Xenopus tropicalis: one gene and its partners. The protein of the gene in region 2 interacts with the protein of the main gene of each other region in a pairwise test. Links are inferred from orthologs where the notes say so. Each region holds a gene or a part of one and is shown on either strand. Other genes may lie near its edges. The genes, in order: atxn1, dmpk and hspb2.

Region 1 (4,295 bases), on a different chromosome or scaffold from region 2:
ATCGTACTATGAACTACACTCCCGGCACACAATCGTACAAACAAGGCAATAAGAACACAATAATCCTTCATCCAAGCGAGCTTCCACACTGGGCAAGCATTTATGTACAGCTACATCTCAGATGAGATAAGACTGTCATATGGCTCCACGTCATTCAGAGAGAATGACCCAATTCTAGTGATTTTTAAATGCTCTAGCAGATCTGTAGCCTTGAAGCGCGTCATGTAGAAAAATACTTCTTGTTTCGGCAGCTCACACGACTCTTCTAGGTTGTTATAATATTTTTGCACATTAAAACGGAGGCCAATAGAATATAGAAATACCTGTGCTTTCTGCAACTGTTTTTTGTCTGTAATCACAACCTGATTAACCTAAACAATAATACCAGTGCCATTAATGCCTGAAAACACAATAAGCAGAGGAACCATCCCCTTGCAAAGTAGATCTGCTTTAACTGAGATAAGCCTCTTAACACAATATAGTTTAGTATTTTGCATGTATTGCAATTTATGTGCTCACTCCTAAAAATCCATGCCTTGTGCGAGCACAATAACTGTCATATTTAAAAATGGCAACTGTTACTTTTATAAAAGTGTTTCTGGAAGGAGCAGACTGGATCATACTGTTCTCCAGGAGGGCAGGGTAAAAGCAGCGAGGACAGAACCCAGCACTGTGGGGTGGAGCAGTCTGTCTGCCAAATGCTCCGGGCCTGTCTTTCTATCAGCACTAGGCCGTGGTTCAGAACACAATGCCTTGGCTTTAATGTAGGGCAACTTGTATTACTTAGGCCAGCTCTGTGCAAATTCCTAACCACATTCTGTCATTGGTTAGGCCTATTTACATGAATTCAAAGTAGAGCAACAATAATAATAATAATATGGACTGTATGTAGTGAAAGTGCAACATAAGAGCTAAAATGCAGCCCTGTCTGTTTAATTTTGATCACAAACATGTAAGCTCACTAAACATTGAACTACATGGCTTAATATCATTAATAAAAAAAATATATTAGAAAGGATTTTATACCTAGTAAGCCAGGTTTTATGGCTGCTTTCAGGGAAGTGCCAGGGATGCTGGTAGTTGTAGTCCAGCCAAAGAGGGCCGCATGTTGGGCATGCCTAATTTACCTAATTACCTCTATTCAGCCTTCTAGCTTTCTGTATCTGTAGCCCTTCCAGTTCTTTTATGTTCATGAATAATGGAATAACCCTACAATCAAAATAATGGCAAGATTGTGCAAGTGTCTCTATAGTAATCTGGAACCAGGTGGTCTCCATAGAAGAGAAGCAGACTGATAGATCAGACAGTAGGAGGAGGGGACTAAGAGAGGTGACATAAACGTGTGCTCTCCTCTCTCGTACACACACTCACACTGGCTCTCTTCATTACCCCATGGGGAAAGCAATTACTGCAGTCTCCCTATTACTGATCAGGGTAAAACACTCTATTACTCTCAGTTCCTATGGAAAGCAGGCCCCACTCTACACGAAACACAGACAGCGGCACTCATCAAGAACATTTGCACCGATGGTGCACTCCTGGTAGGCACTGCACTATATCATTTCAGCGAACAGAAAAAATACATGCCTGTATCTCTGACTGATTTCACTTATCGCTGCTTCTTTCAGGGGGTATAAAAAGCAGGAAAAATAAGCCTGTGATCTGTAGTTCTGCAAGGCTTACAGATGATCCCAGAGAAGCTTCTGTACATGGAAATGCTATAGTACATGCATGTATAGCACTTGCCCACTAAGGTCTGCATGATCAGAACAGAAAAGTGAAGAGACAAATAAAATCGACTTACTGTAAAGTGCAGTATAGGGGCTTGTTGGATGAAGAGGGTGTCTGAGCTATTGCTTTTTTTTTCCTCCTACTCTGCCCCCCCTCGCAGAAAGACAGGTCTTGTACGTCTCCTCTACTGTAGTAGAAATGATGTCTGCAGTACAGCTCTCTCCCTCTCTCTCTCCAGTATGTAAATGTGTAATAGAAGCCAAATATGGAGCAGTTGGCTGCCTCTGCAACAGCTCAAGGATCCTACTTCATGCAAAAGGGAGGAAGGGGGGGGGCAGAGAGTGTGTGTGGAGGCAAGGCAACACTCTGGCAGACGGCCAAGGCAGCCACACAGATTATTGCATACGCACAACAGAGCTGGGGCGGTCGGCTTTAACCCCTTCTACGTGCTGATCCGCCAGCCTGCCGTATACTTGTTGTATCTCTACAGCTACTGAGGGTGCAGTTTTAAATGTGGGTGTTCCCCTTAAAAGAAAAACAAAGAGGTTTTCGGGATTCTTCTTCAGGATCATTTAAAGGAAGAAAGTGCGAGCAGAGACGTAGCAGCAGCGCGGAGTAACTTTAATACGTGCACACGTTTGATTCCTGTAGGGTGTGTGCCTCTGTTGGAAAGAGAAGAAGGGGTGGAGGAGAGGCAGAGAGTAGGAATTGTAAGGGCAAGCCAAGCTCAATGTCCACAGAGAGGAACAACGCAGACCTTACGTGTTCACGTCATGTAGGAAATCGCTTCTGGCTTAACCCTATCTGTGCCAGCAGGCTGAACAATGGAATTCATTCCACCACATAAGCCTTTTTTCAATAAGGCACCGTCCTATTTGTGTGAATGTGTTTTCCTATCTCATAAGGGAATGAAAATCCCTGAAACTTTCAGCTTTGGGCATACCCCTTCATGTAAAGACGTTTTCTATTACAGCTCACTTCCTGGGTGCTTCAGCTGCTGCCTTGTGGGAAACAGCACCAAGGGCACCTATTGCCTGTGATTTTCTGACTGTTTGTCCAGCAGGTGTCAAGTGTTTGAGGACTTTTCTAACCTGTTGTGTTTTTTTTTCCTCTCTCCAGGGAACAGAGGGTTACTGAAAAGCATGCTAACAGACTCGGTGACCCTGAAGAGTACCCTCTGGTGGTAAAACATAATAGGTTGTGGAAAACACAGCAAGCAGATGGCTTGTTTCCTTCATATATGTCATGCAGTGGTTTTTTTTGTTGTTTCACAGTTCCAATGCCCTGCAATAAGTAACAGCAAACACAGTAAAGTGTACACACGGCTTCCTGGCTGAACATTGCCCCTGGTACAAACAAACAGTCCAGGCTGGTTGTATTAAGCGATATAGAGGGCATCTTCCATCAGCCACCAACACTAAAGGTGGCCTTTGGGGGGGTGATATGAATAAAAGTACCTAAGATGTATTATAAGTCTTTAAGTAGTTAGAAGGATGTCTCACAGTTGTTTAGCTGCAGTACCAAACTGAACTGTAGGTCAAAAATGGGCGTAGGGCCACAGCTTTAAGTGAATATTCAAACAAGCATACAAGCAATATACAAAAAAGTATTAAAAAAGTGGGAAAAAATACTACTCTTTTAATGCATGTTTTTTGTGTTTTGAACTCCTCCAAGGTGTGTCTTTAGCTATCTCAGTTTAAGACGGAGTGAGCATCAGTGGTCCATACTGAAGAGAGAGAAATGGGAGCAACCAAACGCGGATCAAGATGTGGCATGCATTAAAGACTGGATAAGGCTGACCTGCTGGGCCCACAGGAGCCATGACAGATAAGCTTATAAGCTTTTACAAAATATGTACAATACTGTTACATGTATTGTTATTATAAATTACCCTTATGACTTTTGAGTATTTAATTGCAGCATGTTAACTGCTGATTAATTGCTATTTATTTGAATAGATCTGGAGCAAACTTTGCACCTATTTTCTTCCATTTCTCCTAACAGATACTAGTAATAGGTATATATAGAATAGATAGGTATATATATAGATAGATAGTATAGTGGTTTAGGTAATATTTGGCTATTTTATAACCATATTGTTATTCTCCAGAAGCAGAATCGGATACAATGTAGAAGAATGTTGAAATAAGCTTGAATGCTTAGAATGCTGAGAAATAAGGTATTTCATAAACTGTCAAACATAAATCTCACAGGTAAAGTATCGATAAATGTAACTATTACTCAATAACATTTATGTATATGGTGCAGTAATAAATAATAACTAGGGACTATTTGGAGGAATGTCTTCCATTATGTCTGGCCATATGGCCATTAAAATGCTATCCACGCCCTTTTAATATTGCTCACCATACTTGAGTGAACTAGAACCTGTACTATAAGCTTGCACTGAGCAGGACTTCTGCTTATGAGACATCCATATCCATATCCAGCCACATGCCACCTTTTACATAGAGAACAGCAGTAGGATATTCCCTACCTAGCTCAAACCTTTGTACCTCAAGAAAGTGGGCGCCCCAAGGTTGCCACAGTTGTGTTGGAAAAAT
Region 2 (3,652 bases):
TCTTTATCACAGTGAATTTTCTATAGTCTGCATTACAATATCTCAGTTGATGAAGCAGCTGGTACAACTTGTTTTGTCTATGCTTTTTAAGCTCTCAGTTCAAATAAGCATTAGGTTATAGTCAGCAACTGTACAGTGGACGGGGTCCCATCTATGGTCTATGGATAGCTCAATAAGAAGGGCTTTGTGATACAAGGTACCTTAAAGGAACAGTAACACCAACAAATGAAAGTGTATAAAAATAACTAAAATATAATGTGCTGCTGCCCTGCACTGGTAAAAGTTGTGTGTTTACTTCAGAAAGTCTACTATAATTTATATAAATAAGCTGCTATGTAGCCATGGAGGCAGCCATTCAAAGGAGAAAAGGCACAGGCACATATCAGATAACAGATAAAACACTATTGTATTCTACAGAGCTTATCTGTTATCTGCTATGTAACCTGTGCCTTTTCTCCTTTTTTCCAGCTTGAATGGCTGCCCCCGTGGCTACACAGCAGCTTATTATATAAATTATAGTAGTGTTACTGGAGCAAACACACCAGTTTTACCAGTGCAGGGCAACAGTACATTATAGTTTGATTACTTTAAAGCTCTTTCATTTTTTTGGTGTTACTGTTCCTTTAAGGCAAAAGCATAATGATCCAGACTGCTTTGTAAGTCCTCAGAAATAAAAGTCACGCTGTTTTTTTTTAAAAAAAATAACTAGCAGTCATTTTATCTCTTTAGAGCAGAATTTAGGATCAAGCTTAAGTCTCCTGCTGAAAGTAATTTCAGAAAAAGCCAGGGAAAAGTTTGTGCTTTTTAAGCTGGCCATGACTAGATTCTGGTTAGGCAATTTTTCATAAACGTGAGCAACACACCAAGTCAGACCAAAGTTGAATCATACCACAAATACCTCCATATGTAAAAAAAGGTAATAAGTTTGCCCAGGAGCAGTAACCCATAGCAACTCCATAGGCTATATAATACATATCCAGTTGAAATATCAAACAGAATTGTTGGAATATCTAAAATCTGCAGCATCTAGACTTGTGGCCATTTTCACTCACCGCACTGTATAAGAATAGCCAACAAAAGGCAGGTGAACTCCAAGAGGAGAGCTGTCTCCAACATCAGAGAGTGTCTCCTGGGAACAAAAGATAAAATACTTCAAAAATGCCAGTGGAAAAGGAAATTATCACTTTTTTAATTATCACTCATCAAACCTACAACACTGACACCTATTCACCTTAAAACAATACAAATTGGAAAAATTAAAAGATGGTAATGCTACCAAAATGCCACTGGAGTGAGAGTATTGTAGACAATAAGGGCTCTGGTACACGGGGAGATTAGTTGCCCGCGGCAAAACTCCCTGCTCGCGGGCGACTAATCTCCCCGAGTTGCCTTCCCCCTGCCATCCCCCCGGCGAACATGTAAGTCGCCGGCGGGATGGCAGACGCGGCGGCGCGATTTCGCGCAAATCGCTTTCGGCGATTTCCCGAAATCGCCTCGCCGCGTCTGCCATCCCGCCGGCGACTTACATGTTCGCTGGGGGGATGGCAGGGGGAAGGCAACTCGGGGAGATTAGTCGCCTGCGGCAAAACTCCCTGCTCGCGGGCGACTAATCTCCTCGAGTTGCCTTCCCCCTGCCATCCCACCGGCGAACATGTAATCTCCCCGTGTACCAGAGCCCTAAGATGACACGTTCAGAATCCAAAACACCAATGGGAAACTGCACAAGACACATACTCTACATAGTAAGAATGTCACCTCTTTATAAGAAGTGCAGTTGACACAAACTGATTACACAGTGTTCCTATTACACGGCTGCCCACAGATGACTTGAGCAGGGGAACCTTCCGTGCAATGCATGATTTGAAACCATGATGGTGTAGTGTTCTACCGACAGTGACCTCTGAAATTGTGGTCCCAGCTCTCTTCATGTCATTGACCAGCTCCTCCCTTGTAGTTCTGGGCTGATTCCTCACCTTTCTTATCATCAGTGATACCCCAGGAGGTGAGATCTTGCATGGAGCCCCAGTCGTAGGGAGACTGACAGTTGTCTTTAGCCTCTTCCATTTTCTAACAATTGCTCCAACAGTTGATCTGTCCACAACTGTCCACAATTTTGTCTCTGGTGTCTTTTGATAGTTCTTTGGTCTTGCCCATGGTAGTAGTTGGAGTCTGACTGACTGTGGGGTGGACAGGTATCTTTAAAGAGCTCAGACAGGTGCTACTAATTTAGATTAATGAGCGTAGTAGAGGTGGACTATTTAGGCTGATGGCAGACAAGGCATAGGACGGATATTTTCGGCAAGAGGGAAAAGCGCTTGCTGAAAATACTGCCCTACGCCTCCTCCTACTGGAATACACTCGGGTGCAGGCACATGTAGCCAAAATACGCATAAAAATGCGAGACCGCATTCTCTCACATTTTTATGCGTATTTCGGCTACATGTGCCTGCACCCGAGCGTATCTCATTCATTCGGGTGCAGGCACATGTAGGAGGCATAGGGTGGTATTTTCAGCAAGCGCTTTTCTGCTTGCCGAAAATATCCGCCCTACGCATCGTCTGCCATCAGCCTTAAAGGCAGAGTAACAGGTCTTTGAGAGCCAGAATTCTTGCTGATTGCCAGGTGTTCAAATACTTATGTGCAGCAGTGCAATACTAATAAATTCTTTAAAAATCATACAATGTGATTTTAAATGCTGTCTCTCACAGTGGGAATGCACCTACAATGTGAATATCAGACCTCTTTTGTATATGATGTATAAGACTTTAGATTCATAGATAGTGGATTTATTGAAGTAATAAATTATTCTTTAAAAGCAAATACACTGTAAATAATTTGCAAGCCTAACAAAACAATTGACAAATTTTTGAAATAACTTAATAATAACTGTTTGACTAACAGATACTTACACCTCCACCACTAACCATCTCTGAAAGCTGATCTTCAACCATATCGAAATTTGAGGTATCTGTGGCTCCCTCTGACTCAGGTACATATGGCGGAATACTGTCCATCAATCTTTCCCATTCAATGCCAGCAAATAGTGGGTGCATCTGGAAATCTTGAAGCCCACCTCTTCCCAAGCGGGTTTCTCGGTCACAGATGAGAGATGAGATAAAGCTTAATGCCTCAGAAGAAACCTCGCTGGATGAAGGGGGGAATATAAAGTGCTCCTGGTGGGGGATGGAAAGCATGTAATGTAAACCTGTTAGGTATGCTGGGAACTTGTGTGTGTTTTTTCTGTGCCACTGAATCATAGTCCAAAAATCAAAGATCCCCTAAACAAGTGGTTCTCAACCTTCCTAATGCCGCAACCCTTTAATACAGTTCCTCATGTTGTAGTGACCCCCAACAATAGAGGGGTTTTTAAGACCATAGGAAATATGTGTTTTCTGATGGTCTTAGGCAACCCCTGTGAAAGGGTCGTTCGACTCAACCCACAGGTTGAGAACCACTGCCCTAAACAAAAAAAGAGAACTGCAAAAAACACATTTTGTAAAATATTTGGGGTTAAATGTTAGCAGAATAAAACACAAGAAGGCAGTTCTAATAAAGCAAAGTAAAACTATTTACTTTTCATCATAATAAAAATGGATACGTGAAAACTCTTTTATAGTAGGGAACAGGTGGCAAAATTAGAAATATCATGGCT
Region 3 (4,186 bases), on a different chromosome or scaffold from region 2:
ACGGCTTGAAATGAATGAAAAATCTACTGTCATTTATTATTTTTCTTGATTGAATTAGGAGGTGAAGGCTTACTTGTTTCCTACAATTGTGTCTGTAAAGGAGAAGGAAAGGCTAAGTCACTTGGAGGTGCCAAAATGTTAGGCACCACCAAGTGACTTAAATCGCTTACCTTGTACCCCGGGCTGGTGCCCCTGTTCGAAGAGAACAGCACCAGCCCGGGGTAGCTGTAGCGAGCGCTTCCTTTTTCTGCGTTTCTTCTACCGGTGAAATCCCTGGGCTGGCACATGTGCATTAGAGTGAAAAGTCGACTTTGTTGTTAAAGTTTGGCTTTTCACTCTAATGCGCATGCGCAGTGCACCAACGTGGAAGAAGGAAGTGCTCGCAGCTACCCTGGGCTGGTGCAGTTTTCTCCTAACAGCCATACACACCATTACTTTCGGAAAACTACTATTCTGAAAATGACCATTTCCCTGCAAACTGGAGGCTACATCACTCTAGGGCCAACACAGACTTGAATAAATCACACTGCAAAGTCCATATTGTGTTGCCAAAAGCTCATGAACTGTACTTTTCTATAATTACCGCCTGCCCCAAGTAGGTGTTAATTTTCGCACAGACGAATGCGATATTTAGCGCGTCTAAGTGTTTGTGAATCATGCGTTAGTATTATTTCTGTGCGAGAATTAACGCAATGCGTTAAAATGAACACATTCGGTTGCGCGCTATTTAACGTAAGGCATGCGATAATATTTTAGCGAATCGCATGCTTTTTTCGCATCAATTTTAACACAAAAAAGCATGCAATAACGCTTATCGACCTTTAGTGAATCAACCCTATTGTCTTTCAATCTCTTTGCAATTTTGCTATAAAAAGTATCTGTACAATGCCTTTACATCACACATCTAATCCCCATGTTCCTCTATGAGGGGGCTATGAGGGACAGTGGGGTTTAGAAACTTTAAGTAACAATTATTTACAAAAGCAGGCCTATCAGTGAAAAATGATCGACATGACCTGTAGGTAACTTTTTACATACATTTATAATTTGAAGAATAATTTTTTAGGGTCACTATTACTTTAACATGCTTCATGCTAAAAGAGAGACTCTTTCTCTTTTCTGCCCTATTGTTTATAAGTATAGCTTATATCATAGAGATAAATGAGGTATAAACAGTTTGATCTACTTGTACATGGCAGAAGTGCCTGTAGTAGAGTATTGGAGTACAGGTATGGGATCCCTTATCCAGAAACCCATTATCCAGAAAATTCCGAATTACGGAAACCCTGTCTCCCATAGACTCCAATTATAAGCAATTAATTCTAATTTTTAAAAATGATTTCCTTTTTCTGTGTAATAATAAAACAGTACCTTGTAATTGATCCCAACTAAGATATAATTAATCCTTATTGGAGGCAAAACAAGCCTATTGGGTTTATTCAATATTTAAATGATTTTTAGAAGACTTAAGTTATGGAGATCCAAATTACAGAAAGATCCCTTATCTGGAAAACCCCAGGTCCCGAGCATTCTGGATAACAGGTCCCATACCTGTATGTGATTATTAACCCAAGTGACCCCTCAGCAGACCCTCTCCCTATAAGTACATAATAGCAAAGATATTGAAAACACTCATTAAGTAATTTAAACATATTAGGAGTTAGATCAATCCACAATAATGGTGAGCTTAACTCATGCCAATTGTTGTTTGTGTCAGTCACTTATAAGGGATGCAGAGTCATCTTAATAAAATGTCAATGCACAGTCACTGTCTATGCCAACACAGACAATGAGAGATGGAGCAGCTGTGTTACTATTTTTATGACCTCCAGCACCAGTTACCAGCACTTATGTAAACTAAACTGATATCCAACCTGCAGTATGTTAGATTTACAGCAGAAGCCAAAACACATTACGCTCTAAAAACCTTGAAAAACATAATCAATTCAAAACATTTTTGTATACAATGCCATGGGTAAAACCCTAAATTAGCACAAACATACTGGATGTTTTCATCATACAAACAAAACTTATACATGGAACTTTGCTCTTCCGCACTGATCAAGAAAGAATATTCTTTTAAATATATTTGCAGTGCAGAGCAACAACTGATGCAGAAATAGCCTCTGTTCTTTCTCTTGGCCCCAATAAGCATAGTATGATCCCATTGTGTAGCAGGCAACAAACAATAAGTAAATTCATACAAAATGTGCAGCTATCGATAACAGAGAAGAAAGCTGGGGTGTATGTGAACATCTTACATGCACACAGTTGCTAAACTGGAGAAATAACTATTAGCATGGCTATATTTCTGGCATTAAGCACTATCATTTAATGGCTAATAGAATAAAAATGCAATATACAGATACACAGTATTAAAGAGGATCTCTTTGGCTTGAAACTGTTTTGCATACACAAAATCACAATAAATTATTTTATTATACCCAAGACCCAAGTTCTGGGGATTTATTTGTATTTTAAAATACTTGCTCTGCTAAAAACTATGCTCTGCTATGTAGGGAGATAACATTGGCATCAAACATACATTTTACCGTCCAGATGGCAATGCAGTAGGGAGTGCGAAAAGCTGGGTTGTAAAATGTTCATTTAATTGTTGTGATAGCTCTGAAAGTTACGCAATTCTGTTTTTCAAGTATTTTTTTTTTAATAATTCTTTTTCTTCTTTCTCTTTACCTTTTTTATTTAGCCAATTATATCAAACAAAAAAAAATACACATTTTTAGTTACCTTCTCCAAAGTTTTGGTCAAATATTTTGGTTGGGTTAGCAAATTCATATTCTGCACTCATGGGATAGGCATGAGGCACAGTTCTACCTTCCATCGACCCAAGTAGGAAAATAATGATGGTTTCTATCGAGGTGTCTGGCTGCAGTGCAGATGAGAGAAAGCAGCCTCTGCCTTCAACATTTTAATCACCGGGAGCTGATGGGAGGGGAAACTCTGATACCATAAAGCCCCCAAATAACTTTAGTTGCTGAGGCTTAAGGTTTCTGTAAACAGAATAGCTCACAGGGACACTTTTTGGATTTATGAGTTAAGTTTTCTGGCCTGGAAACTGTATCATTTCAGTTCATACAGTACATACTGTATATGGATGCTGAGGTAACAAAAATAATTAAAGCAAATCAGAATTCAATATATCTGTGGTAGCCATACCAGATAGACTAGAACTTTGATGAAGACTTTCATGAAGATAATGAGGTATGTTGTGTCAATGGAAGAAAAAGGAATTCATAAACTGAGGTTCCTGAGTCCAGTCTATGGAAGTTTGGAGTTTGAGTTTTCAAAAGTTGTCCAGCAGGTCTATCTGACAGGCACCTAGATGTTGTTGGATGAATAAGAATTATTTTTGAAGGAGAGTGACTGAGGAGAAGTATAGAGTTCTGCATCTTCTATATTGTTCATAGGATGCATTGTTTATAGGAGTCCATAGGATGTATTTCGTAGCCAGGGTTATGTGTCTTCGAAGAACCCAGTTACAATAGGCTAGGGTCTTTCTACATAGGAAACTTTATCTGTGCCATCTGTATATTGTTGCCAAGCTACATGAAATTATGTTATGAAGGGAAGTACAAGATAGAGGTCATCTTGCAGCTTGAGGTTTTGTGGTGATGGATGATGGAAATCTTGATCACCTGATGTTGGTAATGACTAGCGATGAGCGAATTTTTTCATCAGGCATAGATTTTCAGCGAATTTCCGCATTTCACCATTGGTGAATTGTTTCACAAAACTCCCATAAAAATTTGCAACGGAAAAAAGGGTTCGGTCATGGCAAATTGGGCATGGGCGCATCAAAAAAACGTGGGCGACCAAAAAAGACATGGAAAAAATTGTGCAACAAATTCGTTTCGCGAATTTTTATTGATTTCGCAAATTTTCTTGCTCTTTCGCACATTTTATGGCAAAGTTAAATGGGACAGATTCGCTCTTCACTAGTAATGACCTTCACAACCTGAAAAGGAAGCATCTGCTGTGATGGACAGAATTAAAAGTGGAGGAATGAATGCTGATGGAGGAAAAAGATCCAGTGCTGAAGGTTAAAATTGAAGGAATGTACACTGTAGAAGTGTTAATGAAGAATATCAAAATGTGCTGCCTGTAGGTAGAGAAAGCCATTTCCCTATGGCCATGGCTACTCTTCTCAAGGTAAGAAAAAGGAACC

The links.
Region 1: the proteins of dmpk (region 2) and atxn1 interact in binary tests that used the Homo sapiens proteins (3 or more experiments, as listed by UniProt). The link is inferred for Xenopus tropicalis from reciprocal best matches to the Homo sapiens genes DMPK and ATXN1.
Region 3: the proteins of dmpk (region 2) and hspb2 interact in a two-hybrid assay, tested with the Homo sapiens proteins (2 studies listed by BioGRID). The link is inferred for Xenopus tropicalis from reciprocal best matches to the Homo sapiens genes DMPK and HSPB2.

What each region holds. Positions count from the first base shown.
Region 1 is NC_030682.2:93,270,876-93,275,170, reverse strand, and holds the start of atxn1 (ataxin-1), read right to left. Parts: upstream 2,872-4,295; 5' UTR 1,805-2,871; intron 184-1,804; exon of another isoform or gene 1-183. UniProt on the Homo sapiens protein: Chromatin-binding factor that repress Notch signaling in the absence of Notch intracellular domain by acting as a CBF1 corepressor. Binds to the HEY promoter and might assist, along with NCOR2, RBPJ-mediated repression. Binds RNA in vitro.
Region 2 is NC_030684.2:71,035,454-71,039,105, forward strand, and holds part of dmpk (myotonin-protein kinase), read right to left. Parts: intron 3,174-3,652; coding exon 2,910-3,173; intron 1,130-2,909; coding exon 1,053-1,129; intron 1-1,052. UniProt on the Homo sapiens protein: Non-receptor serine/threonine protein kinase which is necessary for the maintenance of skeletal muscle structure and function.
Region 3 is NC_030683.2:84,506,324-84,510,509, reverse strand, and holds the start of hspb2 (heat shock protein beta-2), read right to left. Parts: upstream 2,875-4,186; 5' UTR 2,843-2,874; coding exon 2,749-2,842; intron 1-2,748. UniProt on the Homo sapiens protein: May regulate the kinase DMPK.